Linked DNA regions of Notamacropus eugenii. The protein of the gene in region 2 purifies or fractionates together with the protein of the main gene of each other region. This does not show direct contact. Links are inferred from orthologs where the notes say so. Each region holds a gene or a part of one and is shown on either strand. Other genes may lie near its edges. The genes, in order: CTNNB1, FHL2 and TNKS1BP1.

Region 1 (10,203 bases), on a different chromosome or scaffold from region 2:
TAATTTTTTGTTTAAGATCCAGTAAGACTCCTTGTTTTTAAAATATAGAGACAAATAGCCATATAGATATATGTGTATGTGTCGATTAGACTATGTGGTTTTTGTGTCCCTACAGTCAAGTGTGAGCTGAGACTAAAACCAGTGATATCTCATCTACAAATCTCAATGGACTCAAAAAACAATATGAAAATTTTTAGCTGACAAGAACATGTCTGCTGCCTGCAGTCACTGCAATAGCTCACCATGTTGCCTACTAACCGAAAGATCAAAAATTATCGATTTCATGGCGCTGCGTGCTCGGGATAGAAAGGCTACTTTAAAATTTGCATTGTTTAAGAAATGAATTAAAAGAAAAGGATCATGTTTTTGGAACACTTTGGAATCTAAAAATGGCTTGATGTTTTAATCTTATCAATGATTTACTATAATTCTATTATTTTTGGCAGCTGGAGTCCAGAAATGATTTTTTTCCGATGAATTTAGGATTTTGCCGCAGTATACATCTGCAGTCCCAGAATCCTCCGGTAAGATAATCCTTCTTGCGATGGGGAAACGCCTTTAACCTTTTCGTGAATGAAAAAATCTGCAACCATTTTGAAATAAAAAGGGGGCCAGAATCATGATTTCTAAGGGATGGGATGATATTTATCTGGCACTTTACAGATACTCAAAAATCCTCACCATTTTGTGTTTTATATATCTTAGGCGATGTATCCATTGCTCATCCTCTACTGTCAGTGGTGGTCATAAATATTTACTCGTTGGGTCTGACTAGGACTGTTGTTTCACTTTGCTGAAGAACTAGGGGCATGAAGCAATGAAATGTGCTGTGTTTTCTTTGTATGGTTATAGAACTGCCATTGCTGTTGCCGCCATTACTGCCATCCCAGTTACCATCACCACCACTAGGATTCTTTCTCCCTACGGTGAAGACCAAACACAAGTTTTCACTGTAACTCCTCATTGAATTTGTCCAGTGGATTCTTAGATTACTCCTGTGTATGAGTGTAGTCAACAGTCTAGTTTGATAAAGGGTATTTACAACTACTTAGTCTGCTCAGCTGGAAATAAATCAAAAGATTAAACTGAGCCCTGAGATGATGTATTGCAAATCAAAACTCATGATCCATACGTAGCCCAGTTGGTGATATGTTCAACGAAAAGCTTATCCTGATGGTTGCTTAATGTTTTCAGTTTTGCCATAAAGCAAGGACAAGGGCAGTTTCAACAAGGAAACTTGGCCTTCTATTCCATGCAGGCTCAAGTGTTTATTGGCAAAGCCAGGATATGGTCTTACTTTTGCATTGAATCTTAGTATTCTTAGCCTTCTTCATTTAGACATTAGGGTTGGAGTGCTGCCCATAGGTAAGGACCTGGGGAAGACAGGCGAGAAGGAGGTCACGCCTTGGTTGCTGGTGTTATTGATTTCTGACTTGATAATTCTTTCCTCTGTAAGTCTGACTAAATACTGGAAATATGCACTGACTTAAGGTATACAATGTAAAGAATTAGATGTCTTTTTAAAATATAGATAGATAGATAGATAGATAGATAGATAGATAGATAGATAGATAGGATGTTTATTTCTATGAGATTTAACTGTCCAGGCTCAAAACGGGTCTTTTGCTCATAATGTTGGCTGAATTAATGTTTATTTCTTTTATTTACAAAACATTCTGGTTATTCATTTGCCTACTGGTGATTAAAAGACACATGTTTTAGAAACAGAAAGCTTTACACTCATGTTCCACTATAACTACTGCTTGATAAGCCAATAATCAGATATTACGATGACTAATGCCTCCATGGTGAAATCAGCTGGAGACATTTTTGGTTTCTATAAACACACCCTGAAATTCAGAACTTAACGGCTGCTGAAGATTCACAAATTGAATTAATTTATGTCAAATACAAGGGACTGACTCTAGAACAGAAAAGTGAGTAAAAAATGAGAGTCATGTGTATTTCTGAAACAAATGTGCATAGTCAATAACAATAACATTTTAGTATCACTTATTTGACTGACTAATCTTATATTTTGATCCCTGATATTCTCCCTACCATGATAACAATATCTATCTTCATTCCACACGCTATTCATCTCATATTTTCAAGGAAATAATTGGAACTGCTACTGTCAAATTCAACTAACTTGTTTTACTGTGATCATGAACAATGGTTCTTTCATAATTGGAGTTTGATTGAGACAAATAATCACTTACTGTGTCACTGCAATGTTTCTGATTTATATTAAAAATCAGTGTTTATTTAGGCTCAAGAATTGAAAACCATATTTCTGCAGTTGGACTAAAATACTCAACTTGCAGAAGCAGACCATCCATTTGTGCACCTCTTTGGAGAACAAAGTGTAAGTGTGTGGGTTTTTTAGCTTTTAAATGGCAATAAAAGGAAAGAAAGCCATTTCTTTCAATGTAATAGCTTGCTGCATTTAAAAAATGATAAACATGTGAATGGCATCATTTCTTTTAAAAATCATTTGGTATTTATTCAGTAGTTTTAAAAAATTAAATCATAATTAAGCAAATTAATCATAATGTGTATATTTAGCCTGGGATTTAGGATCAAAGATTTGAGAACAGGATGTTTGATTTGTCTTAAATTGTCAGGAACTTTGCTACTTTAAAAAATTTTAAAGGAGTAGCTATATTTTATATTTTGCTCCACTGGAATTATGACCAATTAAGTTTACCTTAATCTATGATTTATGCTTATCTGTTCTTTAGCATCTGTGATATTATGAGAAGAATCTATAGAACTCCCTGCAAAGTCACACAGACAAACAGGGAGAATATTGTTCTAAGCAAGGGATTTAAGTCATTATCTGAATATCATCTTTGTAGTTAGGCTTTCTCCATTGCAGAAACATACATATATTTGTCTGAATGGTATTTGACATAAAAAAAAGAGAATGTGGCAAAATTGTCTTTAGTGCAGTCACAAAACAGATTTATTTAAAGAACAAATCAGCTCTGAAAGACTGTGAAACTACAAAAACTATACCATGAATTCATCCCGGGAAAGTGAATAACTAGATTTCCAGAGTAATACCTATACGCAAAGGCCCATTCTTTGTGAATGCATTAATTACAGCTATTCTATATAGCCACTAAGATAACCTTTGTTGCTTGTCTCTGTGTTAAATGAGGAAAAAAGCTCAAGACAAAAGAAAAGTCATTCTATCATATGATCAAGCTTTGACAAATACATTGTTAGATTACTAATGCATCTCCATTTTTTTTCCTTGAAAATGCCCCTAATTTCAGCCTGTCAGAACAAATTAGAGAAGATAGGTCTTTTGGAGGGTGTGTGTATGTGAGGGGATTAGTAGATTTTGTTTGAAAATAAGTAGAGATTGCATATTAGGCGGGGATATTTGTAAACTACATACTTGAACTTCTTAGACAAAAGGCACTACAAAAATTCACACACACACACACACATACACACCCCTAAACCCACAAATAAAGCCATAGACATGACAACACATTTCTCAGCACAGTTGAACTAAAGTAAAAAATGGAATTTTGTGAATGATTTTTAGGAAAGCAAATGTAATTCAAAGATTATTTTAAGTTAATCCATAATCCTAAATTATACTTCGATAGTTGCTATCAGTAAAGACATAGTGAACTAGGACTTCTTGATTATTTAAATAATAACTCATGTCTCTAAAGTAGGAATGGAAAATGGTTATTATTTTGAAGGTGTGCCTCACCAAATTATACATATCTGCAGAAAAAGAATACTTGTCTTATCCAATCTGTGTTCCAGAGGCTGAAAGATGAAGTACTTTTCCCTCATTCTTATAGATAACTGGTAGTCTGTGGGAACAGAATATTGTATTGTATTCTGTATTACAGGTCAGACATGATGCCCTATGGGTTTGTTGAACTTGGATTTGACTTAAAAGTTGTTTTTTTTCTTTTTGGTTAAAATGGAGGGTTCTTGGGGGGGTATTGGAAAAATAACAGTGGGATAGAAAATATCAATAAACCGTTACAAAAAGAACATCTTATAAAATCAGCTTCAGGATGAAGGGGCCTCCGCAGGATTTTCCCAAGATAGTCTTTTTTTTTTTGTCAGGGAACATTACATAGGCACAATTATATCATTTATATGTAATATATAATTATTACATGTGTGGATATTTTTACACATATATGTAATAATTAGATTAAATTGTGTTTGAGTAATCACTTGGTAAATTAGATCAGTATGGGCTTCTCAAGTGGCGCAATTTTTTTTTAAAGAAATTCTTTGGGAGTTATCTATCTTGGCAGTCTACACCGATACATTTCCCTAAAGGCGAAAGTTATCTTTTGCATTGTGCTGTGGAGAAACACCCTAAATCACACCTGAAGGACCCAAATCGAGAAACCAGTTGCCCTTGAACAAGTGTTAGCCAGACCTTGAGAGGCTGGTGCCCACCTGGCTCGGCCAAGCGGGGAGGGGGCGTGAGGCCCCAGCCCTTCTTTGTCCGGATATGCAGCTCTCGCCTTCCCAGTCCCACGGGAGGGAAGGAGGAACCCAACTTCCCTCCAAGCACCTTCCGCGTTCCAGCGCCTCCCAGGGCAGGTAGAAGCCGCCTTCCTCCCCTCTGCCTGGCCTGCTGCGGAGGCTGGCTGGGGTATGTGCGCACTGGTGGCAGAACGCCGGCTGAGGACGCAGGGTACGAATTCAGCCTAGACGCTCCTTTTGTCGGCCTCCTTGGAGTCCGGAGCGCTGCCCTCGGACGCTCCTTCCCCTCGTCCACCGAATTAGGATTCACTAGAAGGGGAAGCGGGGGGAGCAAAGCCTGCCCGGCGGCCGCGGAGCCTGCAAACCCCGGGAGAAGGCAAGAGGGGCGTCGGGGGTCGGGTTCTCCGTCTAACCTGGCTCCCTCGGCCCAAAGCGAGCAGAAGTAGCCGGGGGAGGGCATGGGGCATGTACCCCCACCCCGGCCAAGCCTGGCATCCTTGGCACAGCGAGAGCTGAAGCAGCAGGGCGCGGGCCGGAGCCTGGAGACAGCCCTCGCGCCCCGCAAGTCTCTCTGCTCACTCCCAGATACCCAAACATTTTTTCCATCAAGCAGTCTGGCGGGTGGGGCGGGGTGGTGGAAAGTGCACTTTGGGGAGGTCACATCTTGTTCGGCCAAGAAAAAGAGGGTCGCCTGTGGGACTCGCAAGAGAGATGGAGCAGGGGCGCAGGGAAAAGTGAAGGATGCTAAGCAGTTGTCTACGGAGAAATGTCTGATTGGATGAAAAGAAAGAAAGAGAGAAAGAAAGAAAGAGAGAGAGAAGAGAAAGAAGAGAGAAAGAGAAAGAAAAGACTTGAGAGACGGAGAAAGAAAAGAAAGCTTAAAAGGAGAGGAAGATAGGAAGGAAGTTGAAAAGGAAAGGAAGACTTAGGAAGAGAAAGAAAAAAGCTTTAAAAGAGAGGAAAAGGAATGAAGGAGGGTAGAAAGTTTAAAGGAAAGGGAGACTGGAATAAAGGACGAAAGGAAGGAAAAGCTTCAAAGGAGAGGATGAGAGGAATAAAGGGGGGAAGGCAGGAAAAGAAGAGGGTCGTGGCCCCCGAGGCATCCCCGAAAGCGCAGGAGGGCTGGAGGGGGTCGCTGGCACCCCCGCCTCCGGGCCTCCCCTGCGCTCCGGCGGCTCAACTTCCCAGAGCATCTGAGGGGGCCTGGCGCTAGCGGGGACCCCCATTAGCGCCCCCGTCCGTGGAGCCCTCCTCCTCCCGCTCCCCCGGCTTTCCCCCTCGCGCCCCCGGGCTCCTCGGGATGGGGCGCGGGGAGTGCAGCGCGCGCTAGGCTCCGGCGCCGGGCGCGCCCCTGGGCCCCGGGGTTAAAGTAGTATTTTCCCCACCCCAGAACCCCGGGGGCGCGGAGTGCCCCGCGGACCCCGCGCGGCCCGAGCCTCCCGCTCCCATTGGGTGGAAGGCCCGAGGATGGCGGGTGCGTTTATTTCTTCTTAAAGTTAGACCTTGCAGGGAAAAGGGGACGGGCCGGGGCCAGGAAGGCCCGACAGTGTGGAGGGGGGCAGCTGGGGAGGGATTGGGTTTCCATTGTGTGCCGGGGTCCGCGCGGGTTGGGGGGGTAGAGAAGGAGAAGGCGAGTGTGCATGGGAGGGGGGGCCGCAGTCACGCCACCGCTGCCCCTTTAAGGCCGCCCTCCCCCTGCTGCCCCTCCCCCTCCTCCCAAGAACTAGTCTCGGGCTCCCACCTCGGGAAGAGGAGGCTCCGGGCCTCATCACACCCCCGCCCCTTCCCCAGATCACTGCACCCCCACGCTGTGGCTACGCTTGGCGGGGCCGCGGCCTCCGCCCGCCCCTCCCGCCGCCGCTCGGGGCCCGGGGGTGTGGGCAGCGCCGAGGCGGCAGTCCCCGGCCCCCGCGGGCGTCCTCTCGGCCGCCTCCCGGCTGGCTCTGCCGCGGCAGGGCGTGGGGACTATTTTCCCCGTCTTCCATCCCGCCCCTCCCCCTCCTTCGCTCCCTCCCCCGCGCGGTGGAACGCTCCGCGCGGCGCCGGCGGCTGCTGCGGCCTCGGCGGCAGGATACACGGGGTCCTGCGCGCCGTATAAGAGCTCCGTGTGCGGCGCCATTTTAAGCCTCTCGGCCCGTGGCAGGAGGAGGATCCCGTGGAAGGGAGCCGGCGGAGGCGGAAGGCGGAGGGCGCTGGCGCTGAGGCGGCTCTGGGCGACGTCGAGCGAGCGGAGCGGAGCGCGGCGGGGCAGCAGCCGGAGTGCGGAGGCGAAGGGACCCCGGCGGCGGGCGGCGGCCGTTCCCCTGAGGTGCTTGTGCGCTCGCTCTCCGGGGCGAAACTTCCTCGGAGGCGCGAGCCCCGAGTGGGAGGGAGGGACGGGCGGCGGGGCGGGGTGGCGTGGCTGGCGGGCCCGGCCCGACCCGGCTCGGTTCGGCCCGGCCCGGCTCGGAAGGCTGCGGCGGGCCCGGCCCCGGCCCGGCGAGGGGCGCATGGATGGGGCTGCCCGCCTCCGGGAAGGGGGGTCGAGGGGCCGCGGCCCGCCGGGAGGGAGCCCCGGGGCCGGGTCGGGGGCGGGCAGCCTCCCCTCGGTGGTGGACCAGGCGCGCTACGGGGAGGGGGAGGGGGCAGGGACCTCTGGAAGAGAGGGAGGGGTATCCTGGGCGGCAGGGGCTTCTGGAGGAGATGGGGGGCGCGCTCTGCGGGGGGCAGAGTCCCGATGTTCCTGAGAAGTGGGAGCGTCGGGGATCGTGCGGGGGCTTTCTTACTTTGGGGTGGGGGTGCCGCCTCTGGATCCAGCCTCAGCTTTTGCAGAGCTCGGCGGGGAACGTGGAGGTTCCGCTCCCCCAGAAGGGTTCGTAGTTCTGAGAACCGTGGACTTTGCGGGCCAGTTTGAGGGGTTCCTATTTGCTAGCAATCCGTGGGGAAGGGGGAAAGTCTGGTCCTCTTGGTCAGGGCTGGGATGTGAGAAGTGATTTTTCGCTTCAGATCTGTGTTTTCTTTACGGAACCGAGAGAAAGGTTTCATATGTGTATATACATATACGTACATGTTTTTTATTTTAAAAAGAATAATATTGTGTTTGTGGCATTTCACTACTATGTGGATTTGAGCAGCACTCCTACCGGAGATGCTTTTTCTGCTACATCTGGCACTGGAACATGAAAACCAAGCAACTTTTAATCTGAGCCAAACTCAGGAACAGCAGAGATTTTAGGGTTTGCTTACTTGGGTGCTACCCGACTGGTTTGAATCAAATAGAATCTGATATCTATCTACCATTAGGCTTCGTGTCTTTATTTTGTTTCCTAACTGATTTAGGAATATTTGTGTCGTTACAGTAACTCCTAACTTTTAAAGCTTTTTGTGGTGAGTTGAGTTTCTTTTTCTTTTCGCTACTAAATTGACCAAGTGAAACTTGATACAAGGCAACTTCTCTCAATGTTTTGTCTAGGGTAGAGACTGTTTCGAAAGGGATTTGGGAAGGAAGTTCCCACAACAGGCTCTGTGTTATCAACTATATACTTAACATTTTTCTCCAGCTTGAAACGCTTCGCATTTCTGTGTAATGGTTTTCTTCGTTTTCTTCTCTCTCGAAATATGCATTGTTCCCTACTTTGTATTTTACAGACATCTGTCTCCCCTCCCCCAAAGTATGTGAGTGGTGCATGGAGTGAGAGGCTCGCTGCTGGTATGCGGAGGTCGGCAAAAGGAAATCTAGGAGTGGTTTTAGTGAAATGAGAGCTTTGTAGACTAGACATAAACTTGGATACTCGAAGGTTTCTTTGAGACAGGTTTTAGTCAGAAGCAACGAGTTTTCAGATTTTAGTTCAGTGAAGTTATATCTTTTATATGTAGTCTTATGATTTAAGATATCACTCAATTATTCTGGTTCAGTCAGTCTTGGGTAGGTTTGATGATTTCCAAGTGTCTTCAAGTTTTTTGCTTCAACTTCACTGAAAAAGCTTATTGGATATCTTGTGATGTTAATGGTGCAGTCTACTGGTTGCTTGAATTAAGGAATTAATTCCATTTGTACTTTAATGAGACTTAATTTTTACTTTGGAATAATAAATCTTTTGATACATTATTTTAAAGCAAAAATTGCCACTCACAGGTGACTGGTGTTTTCTGTTCCTGTTTCTTTTATACTTTCTTCATAACAAATTAGATCAGGATTTCTTAATTTTTGAGTGTATCATGGATCTCTTTGGCAGTTTGTTGAATCCTATGGATCGCCTTTCAGAATGTTTTTAAATGCACAAAGTATATAAGATGACATAGGAAACTAGTTGTTAAAATATACTTATAAGAATACTGCCAAAAAAAGTTTATAGACCCTAGGTTAAGAATATCTGCATTAGACTATTTATTTCTGAGGTGAGTGATTGATCAATGTTGCAGAATAAAAGATTCAAGGCTATTATGGCAATAGTCTCATTGAGGAACTTTTAAAAGTTTGAAATTAAATGTATTTTCTGAAAGTTAACTGTAGAAACTACTTAAATATGAAAGTTTTGAGAAGTAAGTTTAGCATTTGAAATCCTCATAAAACCCACTAAAAACTGCCTTGACTATCCATTTTACTACTAGGAGATCAGCTCAGGTTCTTAATGAGGCTTAATTAAGGGACTAAGAGGGTTCAACAAAGCTGTTACTAATATTTGAGAGCCTCGGGTATATACATAAATACTTTGTACAAAAATGATTTTTTAAAAAGTTGTGACTTCATTGTTGTGGGAACTCGACAGATTGTAAACCCCCTTCTGTATGTATGGATTGCTATTGCTTCCCTTTTCTTCTCCCTGGCCTTCCCCCCACTTCGGAGAAATTTACCTGGTCACTGTCTGATGATTTAACTCCTAAGAATTAAAGATCTTGCCCTTCTTACTTGGTGCCCTCCAAGTCACAGTGAGCCAAATCATTAGTGAGCCTTAAGTGGAAGCTACCAACATGAATCTGTTAAGGTTTACTTCGTAGTTCCTCTTCTCACTTCAGCTTTTGGTCTTGTTCACTATACTTGGGAATGCCTCCAGTTGTACAATCTCCTGCTTAATATACACCGGCTGTGTTTCAGGACTTAATCCCACAAACACTGAACAGGTATCCTGTGTAGAATATGCAGAGAATGGGATATGATGAGAATGTCCCTGCCTTCAAGGAGCTTACATTGAGGTAGAGACCTAGTCGAAATATGTTTTCCAAGATATACAGTTAAGATTTTGTAAGCACTGTCTTTATGCAGTACCCTACCGTATTAGATTGTTGAAGGTATTTCATGCCATTTTATAGTTTAAGAAACTTGAAACTCAGACAGGTCCAAGGTTGCACGGGTGTCAGAAGCCGAATTGAAACCAGGTTTCTCCTGACTTAAAAGTTCACAACTCACTGTCCTTAAAATGAAGTCCAAGACACTTCTGTTATTTGGAGCTGCCTCTCTGGACCCTGATTCCCATCTGCCCTTTACGCCGTGCTCAGCACTTTGAGGTGATAGTTTTGTCCCTTAAACCTTTTTCTTAGGTCCACAATCTGTTTTGTATTTGGGTGTGTCATACCCATTAGACCTTGAGAGCACTGTTCTATTTAGTTTGTTTCTCCCTAGTATCTGCCACTTAGTAGGTACTTAATTTTTGAATGAATATTTTGTTGAAATCATGAAAGCCCAGCTCCTACTGCTAAACAGCTGTTACTGGTGTTAGTAATGGGAGTAATAAACTGTGGGACCTC
Region 2 (10,203 bases):
AAAATTCTCCAGTACTTCTGGAGTCAGATAAAAGTGCAAATGGGACATATATAACAAAATAAATAAAAATACAATCCAATATAGATAATGTTAATTTGTGATTTTCCAAGTCAAGCTACAAGATTCATTTCTATTTGAGTTTGACACCATTGTTTTAGGGCATAGTGTCCTCTCACCTAGATGGATATGACTTCCATTCCAACCCTCATCTCTTCATCTTCCCACCCATATGGGAAGGAAAATGACTTGTGTCATATGACCACACTTAAAGGAGCACTCCTTAACTCTTAGGTGGATTGTATTGATGAGGCAATAAATTTTAGTAGAAAGAACTCTGAGTTTTAGTGAGGGAATCTGGGTTCAAATCCCAGATCTGCCACTCACTATTTGTACAACCTTAGATAAGTGTTTTAACCTCTGGTCCTCTTTCCTCATCTTCCAAAATGAAAAGTTTTCTGGGGCATGGTAGAGAAAATCCAGAGTACAATTTGGAGAGAAATGAGACGTGGCTGGCTTGGGCACCCTCCTTAAATAGAAGTTCTAGGAGGAGCCATCCTATCAGAGAGAGAGGTCAGAGGAAGGGAGGGTACTTATGTTGTATGAATTCCAGGCCTGGAATGAGCATTCAGGATGAAAAGGCTTCTCAGGCACAGTAGAGAAAGTTCAGAGAGCAGTCTAGAGAGGAATGAAAGGAAAATTTCCCTGGCAAAAAACCTAGCCCAGCTCCATGAGTGCATGAAATTTTCCACTCCATAACACTGTTGGGTAGCAACAGCATTAGATGTGGTATGAGTTAATGATAATCCTGGGGACTTAAGGCACAGCTCATCTTACTTAACTCAGCCAGTGCCTTAATGTATAATCTTAGAGAAGTCCAAAGTCATTTAACTTCCCTTTTTCTCTTATGCTCTTTCAAAATTTGGGGGAAATTATACCTTCGGTTGGATTGAGAAGTAGAACTCAGATCCATCACTAATTTGTATGAGCTTTAGAAATGTATTCAAATTCAAATGAAATAGGCAAAAATTACCATGCTTTTTGGAAAGGGCATGAAAATTCTTGTTAGACACATGGAAAGTGGTACTATTATAGTTGTTGTGACGTATATAGTCAATGGGCAACTCTTTCATGCCTATTATCTTCTATCCTTTTAGTCTCCTGTCTTCTGAAATAAGTATTGTGAAATGCTTTATGTGAGTGCACTTTTCAAAATTAAATAATCAGAGTTGTTTATGATTAGCTATTGGGGTCAAATGCTTACTTCAGCATTTCCAGGATCTCCAACTAAACTACTCTTTAGATGACAGCCTATCAGCAGCTCTTCTACGGTTCTCAATTCAATTCACCAAGCATTTAAGTTCCTATTATGGACAAGGCAATGCATTATTCCCATTATCAAAGGTGATGTATTAGAGTAGATAGAGAAGCCTACTTACGGTGATAATCATCTTTCCGTTTTTCTTTCAGTAACCTTTAATTTTAATTCTTTTGAAATTGGCATTCCATGATTCTCAGACACATGACAGTACTGGGAATTTTTTTTTTTTTTTGTCTAAATTCTTGGAGTCAGAAAGACTTGAGTTTGAATTCTTCCTCAGATACATATTAACTGTGTCAACCTGGGCAAGTCACAACTTCTTTGTGCTTCAGTTTTCTACCCTAGAAAAAGAGGGAGTTGGAAGCTGGTAGCCTCTGAGAACCCTCCCAGCCCTAGGTTCATGATCTTATGAAGATTTTTTAGCTTTATAGGACCTTCTAGAGCAGATGTGTTAAACTCAAATAGAAAGGGGGACCACTAATCCATACATCAATATATTGACTTTAAAAGTCAATGTTCTATTGTATTTTTATTTATTTTATTTTTTATAAATATGTATATATATACATATATGTAATATATTTATTTCATTAAATATTTCCCAATTATATTTTAATTTGGTTCAGGCAGGACTCCCATGTTGCAGACCACAGTGTGTTTAATACCTCTGTTCTACAGCATGTATTCAGCTGCTATAACCCAAAAGAACCCAGTCTTACCTCCTTAACACCATGAGGCATCAAAGGGAAGCATGAAATAAAAGTAAATGATCACAAAAAGTCACTCTTTAAATAATATCTGGACTGATGTAATGTCTTGCAGTAAGTTAAATTGTAGTCATGGTTAGATAATTTCTGGCCCTGAGGTGAAGGATGTAGTCAGCTTTTAATAAGTGCTTATCTATTGACTGAGAGGCACCCTATTAGCATTCCACCACTCCTACCACATGCTCATTTTTATTTTGTCCTTCCTTTTTCTCTTTCTCCTTCCATTCCTTTCTCTGAAAGCCTTTCTCTCTCCCTTTCCTTTTCTTCCATTTCACCTGTTTCTAGCTTAGGCTTAACAGCAATACACAAGGTCTTCTACATTGACTTACATACGTGGAGCTCAGGAATTACAAACATACTTGTTGTTCATTATTACTGCCCCCACTCCCCCCACAGGCTATCCAAGGGTGTGATGCCAAGATTTTCACGATGTGAATCTTCTCATGAGGATTAAAGAAAGTCTTGTGGGGTAATAGTTTCAAGAACAGGACTTGAAAGCTCACCACTAGAAGATGATGGAAGAGCCCTCACTGATGCCACAAGTGTTTTAGGGTGACTGAGTCAAAGGTACTTCCAGTTCCAAGCTACCTCTAAAGGGCTGACTTCTGAAGTTATCCCTGGCCCTCCAAACCTGTAATATGTTCCTGACACACCACAGTTGTGGCAATCTAACAGTCTGTCATAGGCTTGATAAAGCTGAAATTCTCCCCCTTCCCCAATATCCCCCCTCCACTTTGCTTGCTGAGTTATTTACATAGGACAAGTGTGTCCTTGGACTGAACTGACCAAAAGGGGAGCCTGGCAGCCCCCTGTCATTGGAAAGTCTGAGCTGTCTTAATTCAGATGCCTTAAAAGGCTTCCATAGCTGAGGTGCTTCAGTTCTTATCTTTTGTGGATGGCTGTTCCTTTAGTGATACTGTATTTATAGCTCCCTCTGGCAAGAGAAGACCTGTCTAATTACTAAAGACATAGTTAGGAGTAATCCAATAAAGCAGTAAACCCCTGCACTGGCTGCTGTCCTCTCATTTCAGGCAAGGGAGCCGACCAAAAGGAGCTACCACTGACTGGGTTGTAGCCGAGGTAAGGACAAAATGACTTGATCCACAATAATTTCTTTTCCCCTTCCTTCCTCTCCGGTTCCTGGGCTACCAGCAAGATAACAAATACTTAATGTGGGGAAGCTTTGATGTTTAGGGAGGAGAGAGCTTTAAAAACTGTTAGCTTTCCCTTCAGCCGTTTCTGCCTACACAATGTCTCTTCATGCCAGTCTGGGACTGCCATCCAGGTGCTAAACAGCTGGGCTCATTATGCAAAATCCTGTCCCTCTGCAGACTGTGCTGAAAGAATATTTTTCCTTCCATGTGGACCATTCTTCCCATTCAAATAGAAAATTGCATGGAAAAGGGTTTGGGTTTTTGGGGGGTTTTTGGCAAGGGGGTTTCTTTTTCCTTTTTTGCTTCACATACACTGAATATTTGGAAACTGGAAAATTCCGAAACAATAAAGAACAACAAAAAAATAGGGATGAAAACCTCCATATTGCATTTGAGGCTTTGCTCCGTGACAGCATTTCCTGATGGCCTGCGGGTGCCTCTGGGTGAAAGGCAAATCACTGATGAGACTGATTACACACTGGGAAAGTATGTTTAAACAAAACGACTTGTTATGGCTTATAGTATGAAAGCACAAATAGCTGTTGTGGGCTTTCCAAAAGGAAATGCAGTCACGCTTTTGCAGTGGACTCTGGCCTGATGTGCCTAGGACTGAGTCATGAATGCAAGAGCCCAGCCAACGCCTTGGCACCCCATGTTGGTTGCTTAGTTACTTTTCCTCAGAAGCCAGGCAAGTGCTATTTCTTACCTCCAGTCTATGAAAGAAAGCAGTTTGTGGAACCCCTTTAGGATGTAAGTACTGGGGGCCAAGTCTAACCCCTGCTTTGTAAAGCAAGTCATATTTCGTGAGATTTTAAGTACTTGTATTTGTGCTTAAGAAATGTTGGGGGAGGGGAGTTGACTAATGGTAGATCTACATCCTTGTAATAAGTGCTTGCTCTACAATGGGGCTCATGGTCAGATATGATAAACAAGAGTTTATGGCAAACAGAATGTGTTGTTCAGCCTTTCAGTCGTGTTCAACTCCTTGTGACCCCATGGACCATAGCACACCAGGCCTTTCTATCCTTCTTCATGTCCTTCACTCTCAAAGTCTCTCCAAGCTCACGTTCACTGTTTACATGACACTATCTATCCATCTCATCTTCTACCATTCCATTTGCCTTTTGCCTTCAATCTTTCCCAACACCAGAGGCTTTCCCAATGAGTTCCATCTTCTCGTTATGTGGCCAAAGTATTTAAACTTCAGCTTCAGTATTTGATCTTCCAGTGAACAAAGTGAATTAATTTCTTTGAGTATTGACTGATTTGATCTCCTTGCTGTCCAAAGGATTCTCCAAAGTCTTCTCCAGCAACACAATTTAAAAGCATAAGTTCTGTGGCGCTCAGTTTTCCCTATAGCCTAACTCACAGCCACACGTTGCTACTGAAAAAGTCATAGCTTTGACTACATGGACCTTTGTCAGCAAGATGATGTCTCTGCTTTCTAGCACGCTGTCTAGATTTGCCATAGCTTTCCTTCTAGGGAGAAAGTGTACTTTAATTTCAGACTGCAGTTACTGATTGCAGTGATATTTGAGCCCAAGAATACAAAACCTGACACGAGTTCCGTTTCTTTTCCCTTATTTGCCAGGAAATGATGGGACCAGTTGCCAATATCTTAGAGGTTTTCTTTTTAATGTCAAGCTTCTAGCCAGCTTTTACACTCTCCTGTGTCACCCTCATCAAGAGGCTTAATCTCCTTCACTTTCTGTCATCAGAATGGTATCATTTACATATCTGAGATACCTTAATTTCAGCTTTTGATTCATCCGGTCTGGCATTTAGCACAAACGTATCTATAAAAACATGCATATGCGTATAACACAGTATGTTCCAAATGTCTTAGTGCAGTTGTCAGCTTATTAAAGTTTAAATTGCACTAAGACTTTTGGAACATTGTATAACAAAAATAATTTACAACACACACATATGCTACATTATTATACATTATGATAATATAGTATGCTTTCTGTGTACACAAATGCATTATAGTACATAGGTATATGGCCAGACTAGACCATATGTAATTTATAAATTACAACTATATTTGTGACAAATCTAACCTACATGTATTTGAATTTCACAAAATTTAAGTGTAAAAATTAAATTGTAGTCAGTGTATTTTAGGGTTGCTTCATACTTCAATATTAAATTAATCAGAGCCATCCTTCCCTAAACCATTCTGAATAAATGAGAGTTCACTAATCCTGATGTAGAATCTCAAATTCAAAATCAAGTTAGCTCATTGATATTCAATAATATTAATTTATCACTTTCTGGGTTTTCAAAGCACTTTATATATGTTATCTCATTTGATCCTCATTTAACACACAGAAAGAAAATTGCTCCAGAGTACTGTGAAGCTACTTCTACTCTAGCAAAATTATCAGCAAAAAAAATGAAAAAAAAATTAGTTTAGCAATTTTTAGATTAGTCTATATGACACCAAGCATCTAACTTTATTGATTTGTTTTCTACCCAGGTTAATTTGGCTTCCTGTAATTGTACTCTCAAAGGTCTTTAAATCATGGTTGGACAATTAAAAGCAGCAATAACATGTGCTTTGAAGAATTTGGTATTTAACAGATGTATTTTATAAATGTCATGCTATTTTTTAAAATGCTATCTTGTAAAAACAAATTTTTTTTCTAACAGAGAATTTTTAGAACCTGAGGCTGTTAACTTTTTCTAAACTAGAAAGATCATTTTTAAGTTTGAGGAGTAAGGATAGAGAAAGAAAAAACTTTTTATTCATTTTAATAGCAGTCTTTTCCTCTAATTAATAACTGATGATGGAAAAATGGTCAAATGAAATCAGAACAAGTTAATGTCATCATCAAGCCATTCAAATAATTCACATAAGCTATGTTTATGTGTTTCCAACATACCTATGAGTATTAAGAAAAATACCTGTAGTAGAGAAAAAGGAGAGCTAAAATGCATATTGAGGATATAGCCAAGGGAAAAATACAAAAATTCCATTTTGGTTTGCAAGCATTTTGCATTTCTTTGCATTGTGACATCTAATTAGAATGAGAGAAGGTAGAAATATCTGAACTAGCTGTGGGGAGCCATTTGTTTTCACAAGGGATGAGTTGTAACTGTGTTATGTTTGCTGCTTGGGCTCCTAAGCTGCTTTCTCCTAGGTTGATCTATCTAGATCAATTTCAGTAATGTCAATCTGTGGTTTAGTACAAATACAAAATGAAGGACGATAGGATGCTGGTTTAGTCTATTTCTTCTGAGACCAGCTGCATGTTTCCCAGAGCTCAAAAATGTTGATATCAGTATTATTCAACAATCACTCCCATAAGTTCCAAATTTTCTCTCCTTCCCTCCATACTCACTCCTCAAGATGGCATGCAATCTTATATGGGCTCTACACATACATTCCTATAAAACACATTTTCACATTAGTCATGTTGCATAGAAGAATTAAAACAAATAGGAGAAATCATGAGAAAAACAAAACATAAAAAAAGAGAAAATAGTCTGCTTCATTTTGCATCCTGATTCCATAGTTCTTTCTCTGGATGTGGATGGCATTTTGCATCAAGAGTCCTCTGGGAATGTTTTAGGTCCTTGCACTGCTGTGAAGGACTAAGTCTATCAAAAACAATCCTCGCACATTGTGGCTGTTACTATGTATAGTGTTCTCCTGGTTCCACTCACTGCATTCAGCATCAGTTCATTTAAGTCTTTCCAGGTTTCATAAAGTATAGAATGACTTGTTATAAGATTCACCATGCATACTTTTTCCAATCATCCATCCTGAGTTCAATCATGTGTCTTTTTTAGAAGTCATTAAATAGAAAACTACTTTATTTTACTTATCTTGAATAAATGTTCAATTTTTAAGCAATAGAATGAGAATGATCATCATCTTAGGTCAGGAAAAGTCAGTTTTGTTCATTAATTCAATTAAATTCAAACATTTATGAAGCACATATTATTTATAATTCACTATGCTAAATACTAGAGATAAAAAAGAAAAACAAGATAAAGTTCTTATCTCCAAGAAATTTTCATCCTAATAGAGAGGGTATAAGATATGTCCAAAAACAAGTATAATATATGTTAGAATATAAGTGCTGTGCCTGTGAAGTTTATTTATTTATTTTACCCCAACGACATTTAAGTTATATTACATTTTCCTTATTTTGTTGTTGTTCAGTCATTTCTGTCATGACTGACTTTTTGTGACCATATTTGAATTTTCTTGGCAAAGATATTGGAGTGGCTTGCCATTTCCTTCTCTAGTCCATTTTACAGATTAGGAAACAGAGGCAAACAGGGTTAGATGACTTTCTCAGGGTCACACAGCAAGTAAAACCAGATTTGAACTCACAAAGATGAATGAGTTTTCCTGACTCTAGGCCCGGCACTCTATCCATTGCACCACCTAGCTCCCCCAGATAACTATAATGTACATTAGACCATAAATGCTATGACTGTGAAGTTGATTTTTTTTTACCTTAGTGATGTATAAGTTATGTTATATTTTTCCCTACTTAATTTCCTCATATTAGAATTGATCTTTCATTCAAGCCTATTGACTTGAAACTCTACTCCAATATCTTATCTATCATTTCTGCTTCATATCATCTGTCAACTTTAGAAATATGCCATTGAGAAAAAATGTTGAACATCACTGGGCCAAGGAAAGACCCCTGGAATACTCCTCTATAGATACCACTCCAGTCTGACATAGAAACCATTGGTAATACATCAAACCAGTTCCAAATTCAGCTAATTATATAGTGTCATTTAGCATACATCTTTCAATCTTATCTGTAATAATAGCTAGAAGGATTTTGTCAAAGATATTTTGACTGCATTTTGGATAGTGTATGTCTGTGGCATTCTCCCACCTTCTAATCAATACCCCTGTCAAAAAATGAAATGAGGTAAGGCTGATAAAACATATTTTTGTTCACATCAGTGTGAATGAAAATTTTAAAAGTCTATTAATGATAACCACTTCCCTTTCTAAGTGCTCAAACACAACTTATTAAAAATATATGTTCTAGAATTTTGCCAGAAATCAAAGTTCATCATACTATATTGTGCCTACTCCACCCTCTTCCCTTTTCTGAATATCAGGTCCACATTTATTCACCTGCCTCCTGTCCTCTAGCACCCTCTCCAGTTCTCCAGTCTTTTCAAGATACATTAGAGTAGTTCAATAATCACATCGGCCAGGTCTTTTGGTACCCTCAGATAGAGTTCAGCTGGTTCCAGTAACTTGAGCTGGATAGCTAGGTGCTGTCTTACAAATCAATCAAACAATCTTTTATTTAAGTTCCTGCTCTGGGCCTGAGAGTATGCTAGGCACTAAGAATCCAAAGACAAAACCAAAACAATCCTGCACTCAAGAAGCTTTATAGCCTTTGGATATGATAGACCTCTGGAGAAAACTTAATGGGAATAGAAAGAAATATACCTCTTTCTCAGTTGTCTATAGCACTTTCACAAAAATTGATCATGTATTAGGGCAAAAAACTTCACAAACAAATACAGGGAGAAAAAATACATTTAAAATTTATTGGTGGAGACAGCGTGTATATAAGCATAAATCTCCAAATCAAATACAAGGTAACCTTGGCAAAGAAAGCTCTAGCATCTGGGAATCAGGGAACGATTCCCCTAGAATTATTTTTGTTTGTTTTCATGCTTTGTTGTTGTTTTTAAAGACTGGACTTCCCTATTTCACCCAGAATAGAAGTTCAGGGCCTACTCATAGATCTGATCTGACTGCTGATCCACACAGAAGCTTTAATCTGCTGTTTTCAACCTGGGGCAGCTCAGGCTTCTTCATCAACTTGGTGGCCCACCGCTCCCAGAGGATCATCCTACTGATGCCAAGTTTTAATCGGACACCAAACAAGTTTAGCACACTGCAGCTTAGAAATACCAAGCATAAGCAATATGCCAGCCTCGGCATCCCTCGTGGCTGGGATTACAGGTGTTGGCCACCACATTTGGCTTGGGAAGTCATTTTTAGCCATGTTTGTTTTATCCTGTTCAATGTGAAGATAATTTCTCTTGGCAGAAAAAAATAACACTCAAACCACAAACAAAATTAGAACTTAGTAGTTCTAACTTTTCTTCTTTGTCCATTATTATCATCCCTGAGCATTGGTCCTACTCCTTTTTTTGTACATCTTTTTGCCTTTAACAGTTAAAAAAAAATCTTATTTTTGTTTCATTTTGATTCATTAACTGCCTCAGTCATTTTGAGCTTCAACAGCCTTACCAAGGACCATACAATCTATTTATATTTATCCTCCATTTCTTGTCCTTGCTTTCATCTTCTTTAACTATCTTTTAAAATTTTAAGTTGGTTACTGAATTTCTTCATCCAAATGGGTCTTCTTCCCCTCTTCTTCCTCATGAAAATAATCTTTATAAAATATCTGAGATTACTGTGCATAAAATCAGCTAATAAGAAATACGTATTATTTGATGAATATATATGTATTATACAATATATATTATAATGTATTACAATACACATATTACAATCTTTTATATATTGTATATACAAGATCAAGCTTCTTTTCTTATTCAGTATTTTATTTTTCCCCAGTTGCATGTAAAAACAATTTTTAACATTCATTTTTAAAACTTTGAGTTCCAAATTCTTTCCCTTCCTCCCTTTCCCTCACTTATCGAGAAGGCAAGCAATTCGATATAGGTTATACACGTGTAGTCATGTAAAACATATCCATAATAGTCATATTGTGAAAGAAAACATAGACACCAAAACATTGTCAAGAAAAATAAAGAACGTAAAAGAAAAAAGTGTGGTTCAATCTGTATTCAGACACCATCAGTTCTTTCTCTGGGGATGTAAAGCATTTTTCATCATAAGTCCTTCAGATTTGTCTTGGATTGTTGTATCGCTGAGAATAGCTAAATCTTCACAGCTGATTGTGAGATATGTCTTCTTGAGAGGAAGTGT
Region 3 (10,203 bases), on a different chromosome or scaffold from region 2:
AAATTGTAGAACTGGGGTGAAATATTTCACCTTCTATCATCATAACCCTGAAGAAGCCAGTTGGGAGCTGAGATGGTTGGGGGAAAAAAGTTGCAGGGGAATAAGGTAGCAATGTTGCTGCTTGCTGGAGAGAAACTGTTGTGTGAAGCACTTAGGTGTTAGGAATCAGGAGGCAGGGCTGGGGTTTGGAGAAGATCTTCTGTGCTCCCTTTGGAAGGGGCAAGGGAATGCCTAGGACTTGACCCCAGGGGTGGTGGGAGTTGTAGGAGTGGTAGGAGCTTCCAGTCTTAAGTCATGTTGTCTACAGGGATAAGTCAAAGAAGAAGAAGAAGGGAAAGGTGAAGGTGGAGAAAAAATCTGCACCTTCCAAAGGCTCGTCCAAGTCTTCATCCAAACAACTGAGTGAGAGCTTCAAGAGCAGAGAATTTGTGTCAAGTGATGAGAGTTCTTCAGGTGAAAACAAGAGCAAAAAGAAGAGGAGGAGGAGTGAGGTAGGACACATGAGGGGCATATGGGGTCTGGAGCCCCACTGAGGACGTTTTTGGTTAGCCTGGACTCTCTGAGCCCAGCCTTGATGTAAGAGCTAGGTTATAAAGAGAGTCTGTTATCCTCAAAGCTGACATTCAGATGAGAGAAGTGGCAGAGAAATAAGGTATCTACAGAGCAGGTGGAAGGTGATCTGAGGCAGGAAGGCAGGAGCAGCTTTGGAAAGCAGAGGGCAGGGTTTGAGCTAAAGAAAGTAAGATGCCAGGATCAGAATTCCAGGCCTGGGTACCAGCCTAGGCCCAGAGGCAGTGAGAGTAGTGTCCTGTTGGTGGTAGGCCAACTTTGCTGGAGTGTAGAGTATGTGGAGGGAAGAAAAGTCAGAAGATTGGAAATATTTGAAAGGGCTTGTTTATGAAGGGTTTTAAGTACCAAATAGAAGAATTTTTATATGATCCTGGAGCTCATTGAGCTGGGAACACAGTCAGAAAAGTTGCCTTGGCAGCTTTGTGGAGGATGGGCTGGAGAGGGGAGAGACTTGAGGCAACAGGTGCTGAGATAACACTATGGGTGACGAAGGATGGTGGTGCCCTTGACTGTGACAGGGAAGTTCAGAAGCTTTGGGGGAGGGAAGGGAAGACAAGTTCTGTCTTACCCTGTTGAGTTTGAGCTTCTCATGGGCTATCTGAGGTGTCTACCAGGCCCTTGGGGATGGGATTAACTCAGAAAGACTTGAGGGTGGGATACAATCAGTTATTAAGTATTTATGTGCTTACTATGTAAGCCAGGCATTGTGCTAAGAATACAAATAGGAAAAAAAAAGATGTTACCCTGCCCTCAAGGAGCTTATGTTTTAAGGGGAAAAAAACATATTAAAGGTTGGAATGTGGGGAGGGGGGAGGAGGAAGCCGCATGGTGGAAAAGTCTTAGAAGTCCCAGAGGAGAGCAAGTTGAGAGAGGCTATATTCTGAACTGAACTCTCTCCTTACGTGGAAATTTTGGAGTTGATGGGGGCAGAGTAGTGAGGGGGGAATCATGTCAGCTGATGGGATCTTGCAGGATGATGAAGTCAGTGCACAAGGAAGTGGAACACTTGTGGGTTCCAGGATCTGACCTTAACCCTATGTTGGAGTAGAGGTCGTCCTGGGAATTGAGTGGATTGAGGATTATAGTATTTGAAAGCACATCAGTATGTATATTCCAAGTACCCTCATGTGAGGGCAAGAGATGGGGGAGCAAGACTGAGCCAGTGGGCTTGGGAAGGGTATGACATTTGGAAGAAATGGTGCTTTGGGCAACTGGGTGCGTGAACCTCACCTCCATGGTCCCCTCTGTATTCCCACAGGATTCTGAAGAAGAGGAAGAACTGGCCAGCACACCTCCCAGCTCGGAAGAATCAGGATCTGGGTCTGATGAGGAGTAGAGCAGCATCTCCCCTGCTGTCCCTGTCGCTCTCCCAACTCCCCATCTACAGTTTCCATCCATACCCTGTTACCAGCAGCCCCTAAACTGAGAAATAATCCCTGGACTCAGCTTGCAGTGCAGCCCTCCTTGATTTATGGACTTGAGTGACTGGGCAGGGAGGGTTTATCCTCTGCACTGCTTCACAGGTGTGGCACAGTTGAATCTGGGAAGGTGAAGGTTGGAGCACAGGTTATGTGGGACCTAAAAGCTTCAACCCAGGCTCTGCTTTCCTCTCCACGGTACTGCCAGCTGATCCCTTCTCTCTCCCTTGGCAACTCTTGGGAAGCTGCAGTGGGGGTCACACAGGGCCAGCCTTGTAGCCCCTTGCCGGGGCCTATTTCTATTTTTATTTTGTATCTCTGTCAGTGGAAGTCACAAAAAAACGATTTAATAAAGCAAAGTGACTTTAGCAGCCGTGTTCAAAAGGACCTCCACCACGCTGTTGGTCCTCTCGCCTAGGACACTTTTCAGCTGAAGCAGCAAGCTCACTCCTTGCTTCCTGTTGGTTGGGGGGGGGAGGGGGGGGAAGGGGGGGGTGCGAGCGCACCATGGCCGGGAATCCAGTCTTCAGGTACATTCCTCTTAATTCCGATCTGAGTGATTATTTTCACCCCCTGCTCCCAGGATGAACCACTTGAGATTTGGGAAGTGGCCACTGATCTAATTAGGAAAGGTTGCCCAGCCATCCTGCTCCATTATCTGGGCTGTATTTGAGCTCTTGTCTCCAAACATAATCACCTGTGAGCCACAGCGATCTCTAGGCATGTGATAATTAAATCAGGATTGAGTGGCCTCCTGTAATCTGGGCAGAAGAAACACGAGTCGAAGAGGTGTACGCAATGGTACAGAACCATTATTAGAGAGGATGGAGAATCTGATATGCAGGAGGGCTGATGGGCCTGTGCATGCCCTATTCTCTATACTGAATCTGAGAATCAAATCAGCCCAGTTTTGCCCTTGGAGCCTGCAAGCCCTGCCTCTAACGTGACCTTGGCTAACTCCTGGAACTTCAGCGTTCTAGGCAAATATGAAGACTGCAGGGCTGACCTTTACTGGTAGAGGGAGTTTTCTCATTGAGAGTTCCCTTTACAAATGAAATCTGAACCAGGCCCTGTATTGAACTTGGTCCTTGTAATATATAGATAGGTCTTTAGATACCAACACCTGGTCCAGAAACTTGTTTGTTTCATGGAGCCCTTTGGCAGTCCGGTGAAATCTCGGGGTATTTAAATGCCTAGAATTACAAAGGAAGCAAAGCTTTTCTTAATACATGCCTATGTTATATATTCATATAAAATACACATACACGTACAAGCTCACAGAAGCCAGGGCGAGAATCACTGCCGAGGTGATTTGGGGTCTAAGCCTGGCTTTTGCCCCGGGGCCTGTTTGCTCCTCTGGAAGCTGAGGGTGGGGTCGTTTCCCGGGGCAGCCTTCAGCCCCGGGGTCGGAGCTGTTAAGGGTCACCTCGGTGATGGGCCTTCAGGTTTGCCCCATGCTTTTCGAGCCTCTCCCTGGGAGGCGCAGGAAAACTTGGTTGCGGTTACTTGGTTCCTGCCTGAGCGGAAAGCCTCGGGATCCGTCACTCTCCAGGGGCCCCTTAAACAACCTACTGGGCGCAATCGCGCCTGCGGCCCAGGCGTCCTCGGGGCCTCCGGCCAAGCCCCTCGGGGCTGCAGTTTCCTCATCTGTAAAGTCACAGGGCTGGGTGGGCTCGCCCGGGGGAGCGCTCGGGACTCGGTTTCTGTCCGTGTAAAGGCTAGGTGGGCACCGACGCTGCCCCCATGCCCCCGGGGAGGTGCGTAGGAAGCTGCTCTGAGGGGTTCCAAGGCTCCTCTCTATGGCGGCGCTCGAAGCTTGGGGCCACGGGGCCTCCGCTCCTCCGGCTCACCGCCCGGGACACTCTAGCCGGTCGCCTCGGTGGTCCCCGACCCTTCTGAAGCAGTTTCTGCGGCCTAGTGGCGCCAGTGGCGGGTGAAGGCCGAGTGCCCGGCGCGCCCCTCGTTTACATATTCATAAATAATAGTGGGGAAGGCGGAGCCCACGAGCCCTCGGCGAGGTTGGGCAGCCGCGCTCCGCCCGGGGGCGTTTTGGGCGGGGCCGACCATCTCATGAATATGCATGAGCGGTCTGGGGGCGGGACCGGGCGATGAGGGGGCGGGGCCTCACCCGGGACTCTCAGTAGGTCTGTCCCGCGGTGACGGCGGCGGCTGAGGCTGGGGCCGGGCCGGGGCGAAGAGCGGGGACGCGGGCCGAGCAGCGGAGACGAGCCGGAGCCCCGGGGAGCGCGTGAGTGCGCGCGAGTTGGGGCGACCCGGCGGAGGAGGGGGCGGGGCCCGCGCGTGGGGGGGGGAGCGGGAGGAGGAGGGGGCCGGGGTGGGGGGGGGGCCGCGTGGTCGGGGTGGCCTCGAGGGCCGCGGAAGCTCGTGCCCCGGGTAGGGGAGCTCGTGCGTGGGCGGGGGCAGGAGCCGGGGGGCGCACTCAGGCTCCCTCCCCAGAAAAGCTGGAGAGCTCACGCTCGAAGAGCCGCCGAGGCCGAGTCGCCTCCGAAATCCTGAGAAAAGCCGGGAAGAAAGAGTGGGAGGGCTGGGGGAGGGGGCTGGGGGCGGGGCGGGGGAGGGGGCCGGGGGCGGTGGCAGCTGGGGGTGGAGACGGGGCGGGGGACCTGCGGGAGCGACTTGGGCTGCGCCGGGGTGACGAGTGGCTTCCCCGCGTCCTCCCGCAACTGCCCCCGACCCAGGTCCCGATCCCGCGCCCCCCGGGGGCTCGGCCGCGTCAGTCCCCGCACCTGCTGCAGCTTGTCCTGCGTACGGCCCCGGCCCCGCGCTGCCTCCCCGGCCCCCCCCCCCCCCCCCCAGTCTGCAAGCCCGCACGGTATCCATCAAAGAACACCGACCCGGTGCTCGGCGCGGTGGGTGATGGGTGCTGGGACACAAAGGCCAAGGAGACCTCGCCCCCCCTTCGGCCTCCCCCCCTCCCCCCGGAAGGAAGTCGTTGTCCCCCTGGGGCAGGGCCCTTGTTCCAGACGGCTCTGCAGGCCGGAGTCAGGAGGCTTCAGAGCCGATCCCTTCCAGGTGCCCCCCCTCGGGTTTCCTTCCAGGGCTTGTTATCCATTGCTTCGCCTGGCCACCTATGGTCATCTAGACCCGTGGGCTCCTGACCCTGAGCTTGCAGGATGGACCTCTCTCCCTAATCCTTCTCCCACCTTGTTCTCAGTCCTGTCTTTCCTACTGCTCTTTACTCGCTCTGACTGCCCTTGTAGGTGAGACAGATTCTCAGTGACTCCCTCTTATCCTGGTAATTCCCCCTCCCCCCCCAATTCTTTCAGTGGTTAAGACCTTAAGAAGACCTACTGTTGGTTTCCTTTTTGTAAGAAATACCCTCTCCCCTTCTCCCCTAACCCTCCCCCCCCCAACAACATTGGCACCATTGCATTTTTTCTCCATGTAGGCTGCCTGACTTCATTCAGTTCCTTCCTGCTTTGTGAAGGGAAAGGGGGGTGTGTGTGTCAGATTTGCAAAAACCAGGCCCTTAGAATTCAGTGTGATTTTGTTTTTTTCCAGAGCCAGCTGGGGTGTGTGCCATAGAGGGATGGTTAGGCCCAGCCACCCCACCCAGTGGAGATCAGGTGCAGGTTGTGTGAATTAGATGATGGGAAGGAACCTTGAGACACTGACTGACCAGAGAGGAAAAGGTGCTAGTGTGTTAGATTCCCCCTCCCCCCCATCAGGTAGATAGGGTCCTGGTTCTGTGGGCTGGAGCTAAGAGGTTACAGGGTAGGATAGGGAAGTTGGAGCAGTTTGGGAGCCATCAAGGAGGTGACATACCAGAACGAGGGAAGTGTGGGAGTTAATGGAAAGGGCTAGGAATGCTTAGGAGGGTGAGAGGCAGGTCTGTCTGGTGACTGAGGCAAGGAAACAGTTCCCGTTTGATACAGTTATGTCCTAAATATGGAGAGAGTAAGGGAGGGGTGGACAGGAGTTGTCCACTCTCCAGGTAGGCTCTTTGAAGTCCTTGGCCTCTTTCTGTAGTGGAATGGTGTGGCTCGGCAAGCTTTCTTCCGCTGTGGCTCTCTCCTCCTCCCCCAATCCCTTCCTGTCAACCTGGAGGCCCATACCCAGTCCCAGCAGACCTGTCACTTCTTTAAAGGATGCGTAACCAGCCTTTGGGTCTTGGCAGCAGGAGTCAGGGCTTCTAGAGCCCTTACCCAGTTCTCTATGGGTGCAGGGCCTTCTCCTTCTGCCTCTTGGCGAAGAGCTGGAAATCCAGTGGGAGGCCATTGCTATAGCAACAGGCACAGGCCCTGGCTTTACCTCATCAAATTCCAGCCCGACGCCAAAAACGATTGAGAAATTTAAAAAAAAAAAAAAAGGAAAAATGTATTCCAGATGTTTACTTTTTATTCCCTGTTTTTCCGTGTTTGGATGGAGGCAGCTCTGACAGGGCTCTTGAGGGAGGGCTGGGGAGGCAAAAGAGGGGGGAGCCAGGGGGTGGGAACCACTCCCTGCTGAGGGAGGGAGACAAGGAAGGGACTGGGGCACCGGGGCGGAGCAGTTGCAGGTTGATGTGGAGCGGGTTTTTCCCGTCCCCCACGAGGTGAGGTGAAGTGATTCACGGGAAAGCTCAGCCTCTGAGGCCCAAGTGCCCCTTTCAGTCTGGTGCCCAACTTGGTACCCACAGTGGGGTGGGTGTGGGGCAGCTGTGACTGTGGGAAAGGTAAAGTGGGGTCCTGGTTAGGAGACTGGGCTGTTCCGGAGAGCTTTGGGGGACAAGAGGGCTTTGGAGTTGTTCCAGGGCCCATGCTTGCTGCTGGGTACCCCACTTTTTTCCCTTCAAGTTTTTTCCCTTTTCCGGAGTTCTCCTTGCCTAGCCCTCCGCCCTCTCCCCTCCCTCCCTCCCTGCCCAAATTCAGCTTCTCTTGACCCCTAATCCTGGCTGTCTCCTCTCCCTCTTTCTCCCCTGCTCTTGTGTTCCTTCTTTAGGGTTTGCTGCATGTGATGAATTTATCCACTCTCAGGGAAAGCTCCCCCATGGCTTCCCGGCCCCCCCAAGAGATGGAGGAGGAGCTGCTGCTGGCTGACCCAGTGCCAGGTACAGATGGGAATAGGGTGGAGCTGGGTGTCTGGGGAGGGAGACACTGTTCTCCCAGGAATGAGCCTGGGAGCCCATGATGGGAAAGCGGGGGCCAGAGGAAGCGGGAGGGGAGTGACACAGAAAATAGGAGAGAACTTTGGAGATGGAAGGAATTTGAGAGGGCATCGAGTCACACACTTCCTCATGAAGAAGTCTGGAGTTCTCTGCTTATTATCAGAGAGACCACTGCTTGAGGACGGGACAAGTGACTCAGGGTGAATCATGTCATTGGGAAGCAGGGGTGGAGAAAGCCCCCAGGTCATTCCTGACTGGCACTCCAGGAGGGTTTCAGCCCCTGCTCCACGGGATGGCCTGGGATGTGGAGGGTGAGCCAGGCTAGAATGAAGAGTGAACCCTATGGGGATAATTGGAGTCTGAGTGTCCCCCTTCCTCAGAGTACTGGAAGCCCCAGGAGGATTTGGGGGTACTTAGGATAAAAGAGGCAGTATTAGGGCACGAAGAACACTGGCCTTGGCATTCAGAAGCCCTCTCAGGGTCCTGTTGCTGGTGCTGAATGACTGTGTGGCCACAGGCAATTTAATCAGGTACTCTAAGCCTGTTTCCTTTTCTCTAAAAATAGATTAATAGGTAGCAATTATATGGTGCCCACTCTGTGCTACTTTGATAAGCATTTTGCAATTATTAGTAGGTGCCATTATGATCCCCATTTTACAAATGAAGAAACTGAGGCAGAGGTTAAGTGCCTTGCCCAGGGTCCTATAGCTAGTAAGTGTCTGAAGTTGGAGTTGAGCTTAGGCCTTCCTCACTCCAGGCCCAGCACTTTATTCCCTGTGCCAGCTAGCTCATATACGCAGCATGCTCTAGTATGTGCTTGACCAAATGTTGTGAGGCTGAAGTGACAGTCACCAAACATTTTGTACGTGGCAGGCCCCTTGGGGTTAACAAGAAAGGCAAAAACACTGTCACCTGCCCTCAAGAACCTGACGTTTTAGTGGTAGAGACATGTAAGTGCCTAGGTCTGACGATCTCTTGTAGCAAAGGGAGGGGAAGATGATGGCAGCCTGGGCCTGGGAGAGCGCTCCTGCATAAGGTAGAGTTGAAATAGTCTTGAAGAAAGTCAGAGGAAGTCAAAAGGGAGCTGAGGGGGTCTGATGGTGCTGCCCTAAAGGCCTCTGGCCTTAGTTTCCTCCTCTGCAAAATGAGGGGTTTAGATGAGACGGCCTATGGGGAAGATGGCTTTTAGCCCTGGAGCTGTGACTCTGTGGGTCTATGAATGTGCCAGTATTATCTTGTCGCCTCATTTGTGTTGTTTTCATTGACTTGGCCATCAGTGATGTGCTTTCCAACATCTCTCACATCTTCCCCTCCCTGCCTCCTCTTTTTTGTAGGGGACTCAAAGGCCAAACCCCCAGTAAAGCCCAAACCTGAGCCCCGGACGCTGCCTGCCAAGCCAGCTCTGCCAGCCAAACCCAGTCTGCTGGTGCCACTGGGGCCAAGACCCCCCCGAGGCCCATTGGCTGAGCTACCTTCTGCCAGGAAAATGAACATGCTGGCAGGACCACAGCCCTACAGTGGCAGCAAGCGCCCCTTGACCTTCTCTCCTCGGTCAGCCTCCGATGCACCTTCTGCCGCAGCTAGCCCCAGGGAGACCAGCAAGGATGAGGGGCCCCCAGCCACCCCTCCACCCCGCTGCTCAGTCCCGATGGGGGTCCGGAAGGCTCCTGCTCCTTTCCGCCCTTTGTCTGATCGTTTCTCTACCAGTACTGTGGAAGAGATCCTGGCCAAGATGGAGCAGCCCCGAAAAGAGAGCTCCTCTAGCCCTGACCGCTTTTGGGGCTCCCGCCTCACCTTCAGCCATGATGGCAGTTCCCACTATGGCCCAAGGGCCTATGGCCCACTGCAGAGCCCCGGGGACGAGGAGACAGTATCCCAGGAAGACCAGGCAAAGCCTGAGGAGGGGCAGGAAGGAGGCCCGAGTTCAGCTGGGCAGTGCCCTGCAGAGCCCCAAGGGGGCCGACCTGAAGGATCTGGCAGGATGCTTGAGGAGAGGTGAGTTGGGATATGGAGATGGCCTGGGGGAGTCCTTCAGCCTGATATCTTCCATGGTAGCCTCCCAAGCTTCTGCCTCCCTTACAGTCGTAGAATCTAGAGCTGAAAGGAACCGCTGTCTGAGGAACGTTGTATGAGCCTAGCCCCACATTTTAAGGATGAGGAAACAAAGCCAGAGGAGTGAAATGGTCACCCAGGTGGGAAGTAAGAGAGTTGAGTGTGAGGCCAGGGCACATCCCAGTTGAAAACCAGATCAGAGCTTTGGAGCTGGGATAGACCTTGCAGTTGTCTAGGCCCAAGATTTCCAGAGGAGACAAGCAGCAGGTGATAATTCTCTGTTGTATTGATTTCCATGGGGCCAGAGTCTCTTAATGTCACTATGCCTAGGACCTTCCTTTGCAGGCTTCTGGTATGTATGGGTCAGCGTAAAGCCCCTCTCCTTCACTGTCAGGGCTTCCTCTGAGCCGAGGAAAGGGATTTGGAGTCTGAGGACTTGGGTGTGAATCCTGGCTCCTTAGGCTGTGAGGCCTAGGACAAAGGATTTCCCCTCTTTGGGCTCCAGTTTCATTTGTCAAATGAAGGGACTGGACTAGAGACCTTTGAAGGTCCCTTCCAGCTTTTAATCTGTAATCCTCTGATGAGGAGGCTGTTTGTCCCCAAGCAGGTTTCAGGCCTTCAGGGACATGTGCTGTTATAAGGGGCCGCATGATAAATTGATATCTCACGAGTTGCAAGAATGGTATACAGAAGAACCCACATTTTATGTAACAAAATTAGGGATTGATGATTTATTTTACAGATGGCATTACCATATGGTTTCTTTAAATAGCAGATTCCTGCTCCCTGTCCTCCACCAGCCCCACGCCAGTGCATCTAAATCATGATTCTGTTGGCAAAAAACGTACTTACTTACTTCTTTTCAGGAATGCAGCAAACCTGTAACCCCCAGCCCTGCCTGCCTGTTGGGATGGGAGTTTGCAGTGCATTGTGGGCCCTCTCTCTGGGAGGGAGGGACAGAGCCCTAGGGGATCATAGCTGAGCAGCAGAGATGTTAGCTGTGACTCAGGCCCTTCCTCTGGGGAGCCAGCCTGTGGCAAAACTGCCCTTTTGGGG

The links.
Region 1: the proteins of FHL2 (region 2) and CTNNB1 purify together in Homo sapiens (affinity purification with western blotting; 3 studies listed by BioGRID, with this or other methods). This does not show direct contact. The link is inferred for Notamacropus eugenii from reciprocal best matches to the Homo sapiens genes FHL2 and CTNNB1.
Region 3: the proteins of FHL2 (region 2) and TNKS1BP1 purify together in Homo sapiens (affinity purification with mass spectrometry; 3 studies listed by BioGRID and IntAct, with this or other methods). This does not show direct contact. The link is inferred for Notamacropus eugenii from reciprocal best matches to the Homo sapiens genes FHL2 and TNKS1BP1.

The regions. Positions count from the first base shown.
Region 1 is NC_092874.1:44,338,415-44,348,617, forward strand, and holds the start of CTNNB1 (catenin beta-1), read left to right. Parts: upstream 1-4,575; 5' UTR 4,576-4,690; intron 4,691-6,340; exon of another isoform or gene 6,341-6,787; intron 6,788-10,203. UniProt on the Homo sapiens protein: Key downstream component of the canonical Wnt signaling pathway.
Region 2 is NC_092877.1:200,470,909-200,481,111, reverse strand, and holds the start of FHL2 (four and a half LIM domains protein 2), read left to right. Parts: upstream 1-3,075; 5' UTR 3,076-3,165; intron 3,166-10,203. UniProt on the Homo sapiens protein: May function as a molecular transmitter linking various signaling pathways to transcriptional regulation. Negatively regulates the transcriptional repressor E4F1 and may function in cell growth.
Region 3 is NC_092873.1:2,910,295-2,920,497, reverse strand, and holds the start of TNKS1BP1 (182 kDa tankyrase-1-binding protein), read left to right. Parts: upstream 1-4,118; 5' UTR 4,119-4,236; intron 4,237-4,966; exon of another isoform or gene 4,967-5,021; intron 5,022-6,462; exon of another isoform or gene 6,463-6,543; intron 6,544-6,573; exon of another isoform or gene 6,574-6,663; intron 6,664-6,929; 5' UTR 6,930-6,944; coding exon 6,945-7,038; intron 7,039-8,429; coding exon 8,430-9,090; intron 9,091-10,203. Other genes in the region: FACT complex subunit SSRP1, read left to right, coding at 308-491, 1,829-1,906.